Schizosaccharomyces pombe: one gene and its partners. Changing the gene in region 2 together with the main gene of any one other region gives a genetic interaction. Each region holds a gene or a part of one and is shown on either strand. Other genes may lie near its edges.

What was found. Genes that interact genetically often act in the same process or in processes that back each other up.
Region 1: mutations in cbp7 (region 2) and tim13 together harm fitness more than expected from each alone (negative genetic interaction), as found in Schizosaccharomyces pombe (one large-scale study listed by BioGRID).
Region 3: mutations in cbp7 (region 2) and tfa2 together harm fitness less than expected from each alone (positive genetic interaction), as found in Schizosaccharomyces pombe (one large-scale study listed by BioGRID).

The regions. Positions count from the first base shown.
Region 1 is NC_003424.3:4,482,428-4,485,194, forward strand, and holds tim13 (TIM22 inner membrane protein import complex subunit Tim13), read left to right. Parts: upstream 1-1,563; 5' UTR 1,564-1,650; coding exon 1,651-1,767; intron 1,768-1,825; coding exon 1,826-1,894; intron 1,895-1,937; coding exon 1,938-2,039; 3' UTR 2,040-2,230; downstream 2,231-2,767. Other genes in the region: G-protein-coupled receptor Stm1, read right to left, coding at 1-348; endodeoxyribonuclease Pnu1, read right to left, coding at 2,408-2,767. UniProt on the Schizosaccharomyces pombe protein: Mitochondrial intermembrane chaperone that participates in the import and insertion of some multi-pass transmembrane proteins into the mitochondrial inner membrane.
Region 2 is NC_003423.3:1,841,311-1,845,517, forward strand, and holds cbp7 (protein Cbp7), read left to right. Parts: upstream 1-2,056; 5' UTR 2,057-2,150; coding exon 2,151-3,221; 3' UTR 3,222-3,693; downstream 3,694-4,207. Other genes in the region: Rho-type GTPase-activating protein Rga4, read left to right, coding at 1-1,456; U3 snoRNP-associated protein Esf2, read left to right, coding at 3,852-4,207. UniProt on the Schizosaccharomyces pombe protein: Translation factor for cob1/cytochrome b; plays a role in cob1 mRNA stabilization and required for correct folding of the protein.
Region 3 is NC_003421.2:578,683-582,176, reverse strand, and holds tfa2 (transcription factor TFIIE subunit Tfa2), read left to right. Parts: upstream 1-1,619; 5' UTR 1,620-1,863; coding exon 1,864-2,721; 3' UTR 2,722-2,957; downstream 2,958-3,494. Other genes in the region: SPOM_SPCC1672.09 (triglyceride lipase-cholesterol esterase), read right to left, coding at 1-505, 551-938, 1,055-1,511, 1,550-1,584. UniProt on the Schizosaccharomyces pombe protein: Recruits TFIIH to the initiation complex and stimulates the RNA polymerase II C-terminal domain kinase and DNA-dependent ATPase activities of TFIIH. Both TFIIH and TFIIE are required for promoter clearance by RNA polymerase.

The DNA of each region.
Region 1 (2,767 bases), on a different chromosome or scaffold from region 2:
TTGGAGTAAGGGTTCGTGTTCACGACTGGCAATACGACGGGCAGCTTTCCAACGATAGTAGTAAATTTGCATAAGTAGGGTACTGTCAGAGACAATGTAATAAAATGAGAGAACCAATACAGTAGAAGAGACATTTCCGTAAATGGAACCAAGTACATTGAAGAAATCGCCAATAAGCCAGATGATTAAAAATAAATCAGAGATACTTTCACCAGACTGGTTTTTATAATTTTCAAGTAATTGAGGGATCAGTAAAACGACCCAACATCCCAGGGATAATGCTCCTAAAAATGAAGACAACTCCGTGAGTATGTTAGCCATATCAAAAGAAGGAGCTATCACAGACATGGGACAAAAATGCTTGCGAACAGATAATTTTAAAATGAATTTGAGAAGAGCTTGTCTAAGCTTTTTATGGTCAAAGTTTTTTATATGAGTGTGGAGGACAATAAATAAAAAGAACGGGAAACAAAGGGCTACAAAAGCGAAGCAACCTGAAAGGGAAATCAAACTATTAATTTAATAGGAATGATAAGCAATTATTAAAATTTGTCAACTTCCTCGAACGTGTAATGCTTCAGCACTATAATATTCGCTGATTTATTTTAGCGATCCAAGAGATGATACTTAATGAAAATTCGTTACAAGTATTTTTTTTTGTTTTAAAAAATAAACACTAAAAGGAATATCTATAATAATAATAATAACAATGGTAAACAATATTTCTCCCACTGTAAAGAAACAGAAGAGATTTGGTGGTGAGTTTGGCTCTGGATAAGATCAACCTCCCAGCCGTCCTGTTATTTATTTACCTCGGGCAAGGCTATATAGAGATTTCAAGATAAGAAAAATTTGCCGCCCATGCAGTTTCGCAGAATTAAGAAAGTGTCCGTGGATTTACAGATACAATTGATAGTCAATCCAAAGGTATCATTCTAAAGAAATATAAAGGAATAGTAAGCGAAATAGATTTTCCTTCGAATAATCCTATTTCACTTAACAATATAATTCTCAATGTAAATAACAGTCGCATTAATTTTATCAATGTCAAGCTAACTCGTTTTTGTTATAAAATTTAATACACCATAATATCGCTAGCAGTATTAAACATTGAAATGTTTACGTGACTTGTTTGATTCTCAGATTATTTGCAGTAAAAGATGTGCTAATTCCATGATTTAATTTCGAGACTATAAAACTCTATAAAAATTTCTTACAAATTGGGATTTTTATTTTTTTTTCTAAACAAGGGTAATGAAAAGTCATGAACGATTCATTTCGTATATTAAAATATTAAAAATAATAATAATAAAAAAACGCTGAAAAAACTTTTATTTCTAAACTCACCAAAAGGACCCGAATAGTATATCTATCCATTAGTTTAGAAATATTTTATTAAATCTTTTTTTTTTATACCAAGTAGAAAACAAAACAAAGATTGCTGTCTGGTTGTATCGCATATGTCAGCATATTAGAAAATCCATTTTCTATTAACGAAGTCTAATTGGTGATGATGGCCGGTTTCTGAATTAGTCTCCCTAAGTACACCGTTTGGTACTTTCCACGAACGTACCATTTCCTCATTAATTTTCCTTGTAAAGGAGTAAAAATTATCCACATTCATAAGTTTTAACGTTATACTTAAACAAAATGGGCATTTTCGGTGGAAATAGTGGAAATGCACCTTCTTCTGAAGACAAAAAATCCATTTTCATGAAACAAATTCGTCAGGAACTTGCTGTTGCTCAAGCTGGCGAATTGATAAGTGTATGCTCCATTCATTTTTTATGTTTTATTGAATGTTTTAACTAATCGGTTTATCTAGAAAATCAATGAGAACTGTTTTGATAAATGTATCCCGGAGCCTGGTTCCACATTCGATCCCAATGAAAAGGTATGAGAACTATTAAAATACTTTTATTCTAACTAGACAAAAGTCTTGCGTTTCCAAATGTATGGAACGCTATATGGATGCTTGGAACATTGTTTCTCGAACCTATATCTCTCGTATGCAACGAGAGCAGAAAAATCTCAACTGAATAATAATGATTTTTTTTTCTATCATTTTGTTTTACTCTCCTATGATATGTGTCTTGTTGTATAGTTGTGAAGTGACGGCAAAGCTTAATATGCAACGTAGAAATTTTTCTTTTCAACGTAGCTCACGCGCTTTCTCTCTAATAATTATAAACTTTCAGCAATTAAAATTCGTTTCATGTTCTTTTCCTAATCATGCTAAACACTTACAAGTGTTGTTATACTACTGGGTAAAATACTTATAATTGTTTCTTTGACATGTAGCATTTAAGTATTATTGTGTAAATAACAGTTTAAATATTTTCATAATAAAGAACGATCACCGGAAAAACTAGAAAAACTAGAGATTCATTAAATTTCCTTATTCTTATCATTTACCTTGATTCTTTTGTTTTTGTTTAACTGATTCAACAAACTCCTTAACATTTAACTGACACACCACTTCACTGCAAAGTTGTTTTCGGTTACCCTTGGGTACGTTTGATAAGATCTCTAATCCGCTTGCTCGTTCCACAACCTCAACGGGAACTGCAAAGTTCTTTAACGGAAAGTTGTCAGCAATAGGTTTGTTGGGAAGAACGAATGCAGCTACTGATGGACTTGAGGTAGGCTCTCCTGATTTTTCTGCAATGATTACTTTAAAAAAATGAGTAGGAACTGCGACGTTGGGAGGATTGCCAATTACTCGATACTGAACTTCCCATTGTCCACGTTCATTTTTTTTAGGTAA
Region 2 (4,207 bases):
GCATCAAGCATGTGAACCTGAATACAATCGAAGTTCTTTGGTTAGAGCAAGTGATGTGTTTACTTCAAACGTATTTGATGCTACAGAGGAAAGCGCAAATGAACTCGCCATTCGTATTTCAGAGCTTCAAGCTGAGGTTGGAACCTTATTGTTGGAAGCGACTTCGTTGGCTTCTATCATAGAGCAGCAGACTCCCGTGTCCCCCGAAGCTTTCAAGCAAGAGTTGGTTGCAGATTTAAATTATAGATTAGATTATTTACGGAAATCTTTTCAACCTGAACTGTCTACCTTACTTTTGAGGCGAGACGCTTTGTCTACGACTGTCTCTAAATTGCAAAACGCTTACAGCACTGTAATGGAAGAAACCGCATATCTGAATGTTAAGAACACAGAACTGGTAAGCCTTAACAATCAATTGGAGAGAGAATTGGCATACTTGAGGGAGCAGCAGCATAAGAAGCGAACTTCTTCCTCTTTCGGAATATTTAATAATGATAAAAAATCCAACCGAACGATTTCAACCCCGTCTCCGCGAGAATCGTTTTCGCGTCTACAAATGGTTGCATCTAGCCTTGGATTTAGACCCAAAGACAATAAAGACAAGGAGAGTGGAGGGTATAACAAACGGAACTCTAAAATAGATCTTAAGAAGTCATTTTCTAAACGGTTTCATTGGAAAAGAGATTCTCCTCACATGTCGAGTACTCCCAGTATTTCTGAAGAACATTTAGCTTCTGAAGAACAAGAGGATTTCGTTCCAGCGGTCGGTCACTGCAAACTTTGCGGTAAATACTCCAATGAGCTTAGAGCACATTATCAGGATTGCGTTAGTTCTACTATAGATCGTCAGTATCAATCTAAAAAAAGCGAATCTCCTGTTTGGGCTTTGAATCCTGACGACTTCGATCAAAACAGGCTAACACTCTTGAGAGTCCCGACGCTTATCGTTTCTTGTATAAATTTTATCGAGTCATACGGCATGGATTTTGAAGGTCTGTATCGCAAATCAGGGGCAACTTCTCAAATGAAAAAAATTGTTGCGTTACTAAGAAATGAAGATACGGTACTTGATCCAAGTGAGGATATTTCTGCTGTCACTTCTGTATTCAAGCAATATCTTCGCAACCTTCCTAATCCAATTATTACCTATGACCAATACTTTCCGTTCATCACAGCAGCAAATTGTGCCTCTTTCCAAGATAAATTAGACGGTTTTATAATGGTCATCAAAAGTCTTCCTCCAGCTCATGCTGAAATTTTGCAGCTCATTATTAGACATTTAGCAAGGGTTGCTGCATATAGTCATGCAAATCGAATGACATCCAAGAACCTTGCAGTAGTATTTTCCCCAACATTAATACGCGACCCCGATAATTCCAGAGACGTTATTGACATGACTGTTAAGAATTACAGTCTTGCGTTTTTGATAGATCATGTACATGAAGTCTTTGCCTAAATTCACACTATCCTTTAATAATTCGCTCTTTTGTTTTGCACGTTCCTTTATATTCTTTATTCGTCTTTTTTTGTTGTTTTAGTAGTTGTACCATAACTTTGGGCAGTTATATCGAGATTCCTTTTTGCATTTGCTAAGATAGTTTCATTTTTGGTCATTTTTAGATGTCATCGTGAAATCAGTGGCAGATGAGTGTTTTATGGATTTGGCGTATAGCTTCTTCATAATGCATTATCACTGCAGACTGACATCCATCGCTTTTATTTAATCATTTCCCTGTTTTAGTCTACTTGGCATTACTCACAATGCTAGGCTATGAATAAAATGCAATTGCATGTATAAAAAAGGAGAAATTTGTATTTTTTTTTAATTTTATTATGCTTTCAAGGATTTAAAGAAGCATTTTTTCCCAAGATCCCTAACTTAGGAAATGCTAGTGCAACGTATTGTGAGTAAGTGATTTTGTAGATATATCATGCCCATTATCTTAATGGAATTCTAAAAAACCAAAAGCAATTCCTATAAACAAAAATTATATACGTTATATGGTAAATTTTTTGAAGGGGGTTAAATAGAGTTTCGAACGTCTAACAAAAAACCAACTCCTGTTTTACTACCACTTTTTTTTGAGAAAAGAGGGTCTTTAAGCAGGATATTTTATTATCTATGTGAACAAAATTACGGAATTTTACTAATGGCAGATGTTATTAAACGATGCATTTTGGGCCCGACTGAAGCCGGCTGGTTCGTCGCAAAGTCTCAAATAAAAAAACCAGTTGACCAAAGACCGGTTATCCTAACCCATTGTAAGCTGCACAGCAAAATGCTAGAGCCAAAGGCGATTGTTTATAAAAAAAATTCATCTGCAATTCCTAAACGAGTTGACAACATTCTTCTTCGAAGTCAAAAGCCCAAACATATAGAATGCCTACTTGTGGACTCTAAAATCACCAAAACAAGGAGCCTTTTGAAAAGATTTGGAAGCTGTCTTGATGAAACTAGTACCATTGTACTTTTAAATCAAAGTGTTTCCTTGTGGGAGGATTGCTACAGTTTATTTCCAAAGACTGAAACCAGACCGCGAATATACCTTGGCAGGTTCCAAACTCTATTCAAATCTTTTCCATTTAATTTAATTAGTGATTCTTTCAGTTATCGTCTCAACCTTAGCAAACTTCCTCGTACACCTTTGGAGAAGTGTACGGTAGCTAGAGCCTGTAAACAGTTTCCGTTAAACCAAAGGTCCCCTTTACTTGACTTGATGGGTTCCTTTGAAAGGGACTATGTAAATTTTTCAAATTTTTCACAGATGCTTTCTGCACAGTTATGTGACTCTATGGCTTTTTTAATTCAAATTTTTCCTACTCCATTACTCAGGCAAAAAGCTGCGAATGCGTGGATCGAAGTACTTTCTAAATTACCATATTTCCATATTCTTGATAAATCATTTTTTTCTCCCCACTTGTTACTTCAAAGCTCTGAAAATCAAGCATGCAAATTTTTTAATATTGGTCCTCAAGTTTATTTCGATCCTAGGGAAAGATTGCTTCATGTTAAGGAGTTACTGAAGTTCGCTTTAAAGCATATTGACAGTAATGATTCTCTATTTACATTCTTAAAGCAAACTTGTTATACTTGTGATTCGCCTTATGCTAAAGTGTTTCAGCCCGATAAACAGTCGTTTCATAGCATAATTTCAAGAAAGCGTCTTGCTCATCTTGAAAAGGAATATTTTGATAAGGATGTATCCAAATTAGTGCTTTGATTTGATATGAGGTGAAAAATTGACCGAACATATTCCATCTACTGGTAATTTAACTGTTCAATCCGTTCTAATAAATTCACCATAATTTCGAGAGAAGGTTGTTTTCAATTTTTTATGTTAAAAAGAAAAAGCAAAAGAAATCTAGGGATAAAATATCGCTAAATTTAATTCTTAGCCTGATCCAAAAGCTACTGAAGACTACTGTATCTCAGATAAAGCATTGTCAATTATAACCACTCCCCCATGATGTTTCATTCTTAGTCACTCCTTTGTTTATCTTCGAGGATTCACTCATCTTTCAAATAATTTGAACACCTATACTTTGTTGAGATTGCAAACAGCCTCTATTACCTTTTTATTGATCATAGATCATTAACTTGAAAAATGTTAGTTATAAATAACATAAAATATTACTAAAATCATTTCATTCTCATCTTTTTTCACGGTTTTCCTTTTTAGGTAACAATTTATTGTCACTTGAAATTCATGAAACTCGAGTGTATAGAAGTTTTCATTTCTACAATTTAGGCGTTTCGAAGATTAAGTTGTTGTGGCATAGAATTTCTTTAAAAGATTACTTCTTAACTTTTAGATTGAAAAGTAAACCAACAAGCAAATCATTAGCCAAATATGTCTACAGCTGAACAATTATTTGGGGCCGAAGAAGAAGAGAAGTACGTTGACCAAGATTTGAGTGAAGATGAAGAAGATGAACGATTTTTAAAAGCTATTCGTTCCTCAAGATCAACAAAACCAGTTGTAGACGTTTTAAAGGTCAAATCTGAAAGCTCCGCCGATGAGCTTGAGGAACGAGATGCCCATCTTGATCGCTTCCGGAGAGATTCCACGTTCGAGTCTGAAACTTCAGACCATGAAGACTTTTCAGGCGGCTCTGAAAATGAGCTGGATGAGGAGACCACAAAAAATGCAAATTCTATAAAAAAAATATCACTTGAAGAAGTTGAAAAGCAAAGAAAAGCTATTAA
Region 3 (3,494 bases), on a different chromosome or scaffold from region 2:
GGAGCGATATGATTTTTTTGGATTTCACGATTTTCTTTATCATTCTCCTCATGCTCTGGTGGATGGTGAATGTCACGAAGCCTTCGTAGTACAGGAGGTATAACATAATCTTTAACTGTGTCTGCCCAAATCATGTCCAAGTGTTCATAGCTATCAACCTTAACATGCTCCACCTCCGCAGGCAAAGCATTCAACATCGCTTGGATATCAACGAGTGAGTCGCTGCCTCCCCAAATAAGATAAATAGGGGTGCGAATATTATTTGTAGGGAATTTGGCAGCTTTGTAATATTTGAGGAAATAGTCATGACCAAGCTGGTCATTATCATACATTCTAAATTCTGCGCTTCTCATGATTTGAAACCAATGCACAAGGCACTTTACACTAGTATATGAATACAAATGGGCGAATGAAACCAAGCGTTGATAGGAAGAAATGTTTTGGCAAGACCAGTTAAATAACTGAGACAAACAGTATGCAAGGACTGCATCAAAAAATTTTGGAGCTGGATAAAAATGTCAGTGAAATTATTAAAAGAAAAAAACCGTACCTAAAAAGCTTTGCCAGAATCCGGCAGACGGCAAAATAGATTTTCGTCCGAAAAGGAAAAATAATATGGAAGGTCTGGCTTTTACAAAGGCATCTACAACTCTGTTATGTAAACCTTTTGGACTAATTGCAGGTGCTAACGCTATCAAAGAGTTGATTTTGTCATTCAACAGGGGATGGATACTCAAAGAAGCAAAAGCTTGAGCAGTGCCCTGAGAAAATCCTATATAAGTGAGCTTTGTTTGCCCAGAAGTTTTTAGAATATAGTCAATGGTATCGGGAATATCGTATTGAGCAAAATCGTCAATGCTAAAGTCCCAAAATTCCTTGTCAGTAGAGTCGAAGCGAAGATGTTGACGACTGTATTTATTTCCTCGATTATTTCCGAGCTTAAGCACAATTAGTAAATAATTTTTAAAAAAGAAAACTCGAACGAAAACCATATTAACTTTACCAGTAACTAATTATTTAAAATATGATAAATTGAACGCAGCAAAATACTTACCCAAACATCGTATCCTTTATTTACGAGATCAAATACTAGGCAATTTCTGGGGTCTACATTACAAACCCAGACTTCCGAATTCATCAAAAGACCGTGATGACAGTAAACGACCGGAAGCTTTTTGGGATGAGGAGAACCAATTCTTCCAGGGGAATCCTTCGATATCCTATGAATACAAAGTATGTAATCATCCTCTGTTCTAACGAGATGGTCCTCAACATAATACCCAGAAATTTTGCACATTTCTCGTATGTCAGCTGCATCGTGAATTGCCTTTGCCCTTTGAAGGCTAACGCTTCTCGACCTTGATCTTTTCTTTGAACGTTTTTTAATCTCATTTCGAACTACTGATCGATAAAACAAGCCTAGCGTATTGTGAATCATGAAGGCCAGGCATGAAAGTAATTTTTCAAAGATTACAAAGAAAAACCCCAAAAATAGGGCCATATACTCTTCCCTTTATTTGTCAGTTAATATATTAAAAGATTTGCATACCATTTTAGACGCTGAATAAACGGTAACTGAATCATTTCGCATATTGCGTGGAATGGAGGTACTAAACCTTGCCCTCTGCCAAACAACTATTTTTGGGGGGACTTTTGAAATTGGTTTAAAAGCAATAGCCTTTTAAATTTATTTTAGTATTTTGCAAACAGAGATAAATATTTTGTTTGTTTTCTATTTTTTTACAAGGTTGTCGGTCTATAAGTTCGATTTTGTTAACAAAGCCTTGGGTCATAATTTTGAACAGAATTTGCCCACCGTTTGATAGTTTCATTTCCGACAAGCTAACAACTACTTTTAAGGCTATGAGTTCACTAAGCGATCAATTATCTTCGTTTAAAAAGAAAGTCGCAAATCAACCTATTTATGCAAAACCTCAACCTCGTCAACCAGCTTCTCCGACTCCAACAGCTTATTTGAATTCAAATGATGGACATTCTTCTGCCGCTTCAAGTCCAGGGTCGTATTCCCTGAAGAAAAAGCGCTCAAAGACGTCTTTGGTTTACTCGCAACCCGCTGATTCTGGTGTTGGAACGCATTATTTATCACAGCTACACTATGCAGTTGAGTATTTAAAAGAGAGAAATGAGCCTAAAACGGCTGAGGAAATTGCTTCTTACCTGTCAACTCCATTGACTCCTATGTTACTCAATCTTTTGAAGAAAAATAATCGCATTTATTATGATGAAAGAAATGAAACGTTTACCTTTAAGCCATTGCATAACATTCGCTCAGGAGCAGGTTTATTAGCATATTTAGATTCACAAAAAACCCACGTTGGTATGAGTATCAAAGAGCTTCGAGACGGATGGCCCAACGTTACTGTTGAACTTGAAGAACTAGAAAAACAGGGAGAAGTGCTTTTATTACGTACAAGGAAGGATGGCGTTCCTAAAATGGTATGGAGAAATGACAAGAGCTGCGATTGTCATGTCGATAAGGAGTTTCAACAAGTTTGGCATGAGATTCCCATTCCACCCACTTTGGATTTAGCTTCTGAACTTGGAAAATACGGTTTAAAGCCCACTAGCGTGGATCCTTCAACCGTAAAGCGTGCTGGTCATAATCAAACGCCTAAACAAAAGAAGCCCAAAACTCGACGTGGAAAGATTACGAATACACACCTTAACATTCTTCGTGATTATAGCTCCATGAAACCTTGAAATCATATTAAGGATCCCATATTTTTTAACTAAAAACTGTGTTGCTTTTGGTATTTAATTTCATCCGGTTACTGTGTTGTTGTCTGGTACTGGATGTGTTTGAAAAAATAGCTATCTATCTTACATTCCTTTTTCCAAGATTTGCATGGACTGGACATATTTCCTCTTTGTTTCTTCTAATCTATTTGCAACTATGGAAGAAAACTCTATTGTTTAATGATGATGATTTTTTACATAAACTGTTAAACCTATATTAGCTGACAATTAGTCGGTATTGTTGACAAGTGCATTTATTGCTCTGTAGTTAATTTGCACTAGTATACAGTGACTAAGTAGACAATTACATTTAGTTTAAACAGAAATTCTTATCTTTCCCTTTTGTGCATTGTCGAAATAGAAAGATCAGTTATGTATTGAAAGGTGTGTTTATGTAGGTGAATGTTTTGTGGAAAGGAAAAAAAACGTATTTCTTCACTCATGCTAATAAATTGATTTCATTAGCATGCATTTTTGTAACGAAAAAATAAATTAATATTAGCTCCCGGCGGGACTCGAACCCGCAATCCCTTGATTAGAAGTCAAATGCCCTAGCCATTAGGCCACGGGAGCTAGTTAGTAGAACGTTATATTATGTATATTTTATATATAAATTTATAATTTATCACCATTTTTATCCTATACTGCTAACTCTAAAAGATGTAGAAATATATGGTAATTCGTAAATATAAGAAAGCAGAGTGCATGACTAAATAGAAGATCGATGTTGGTCACTT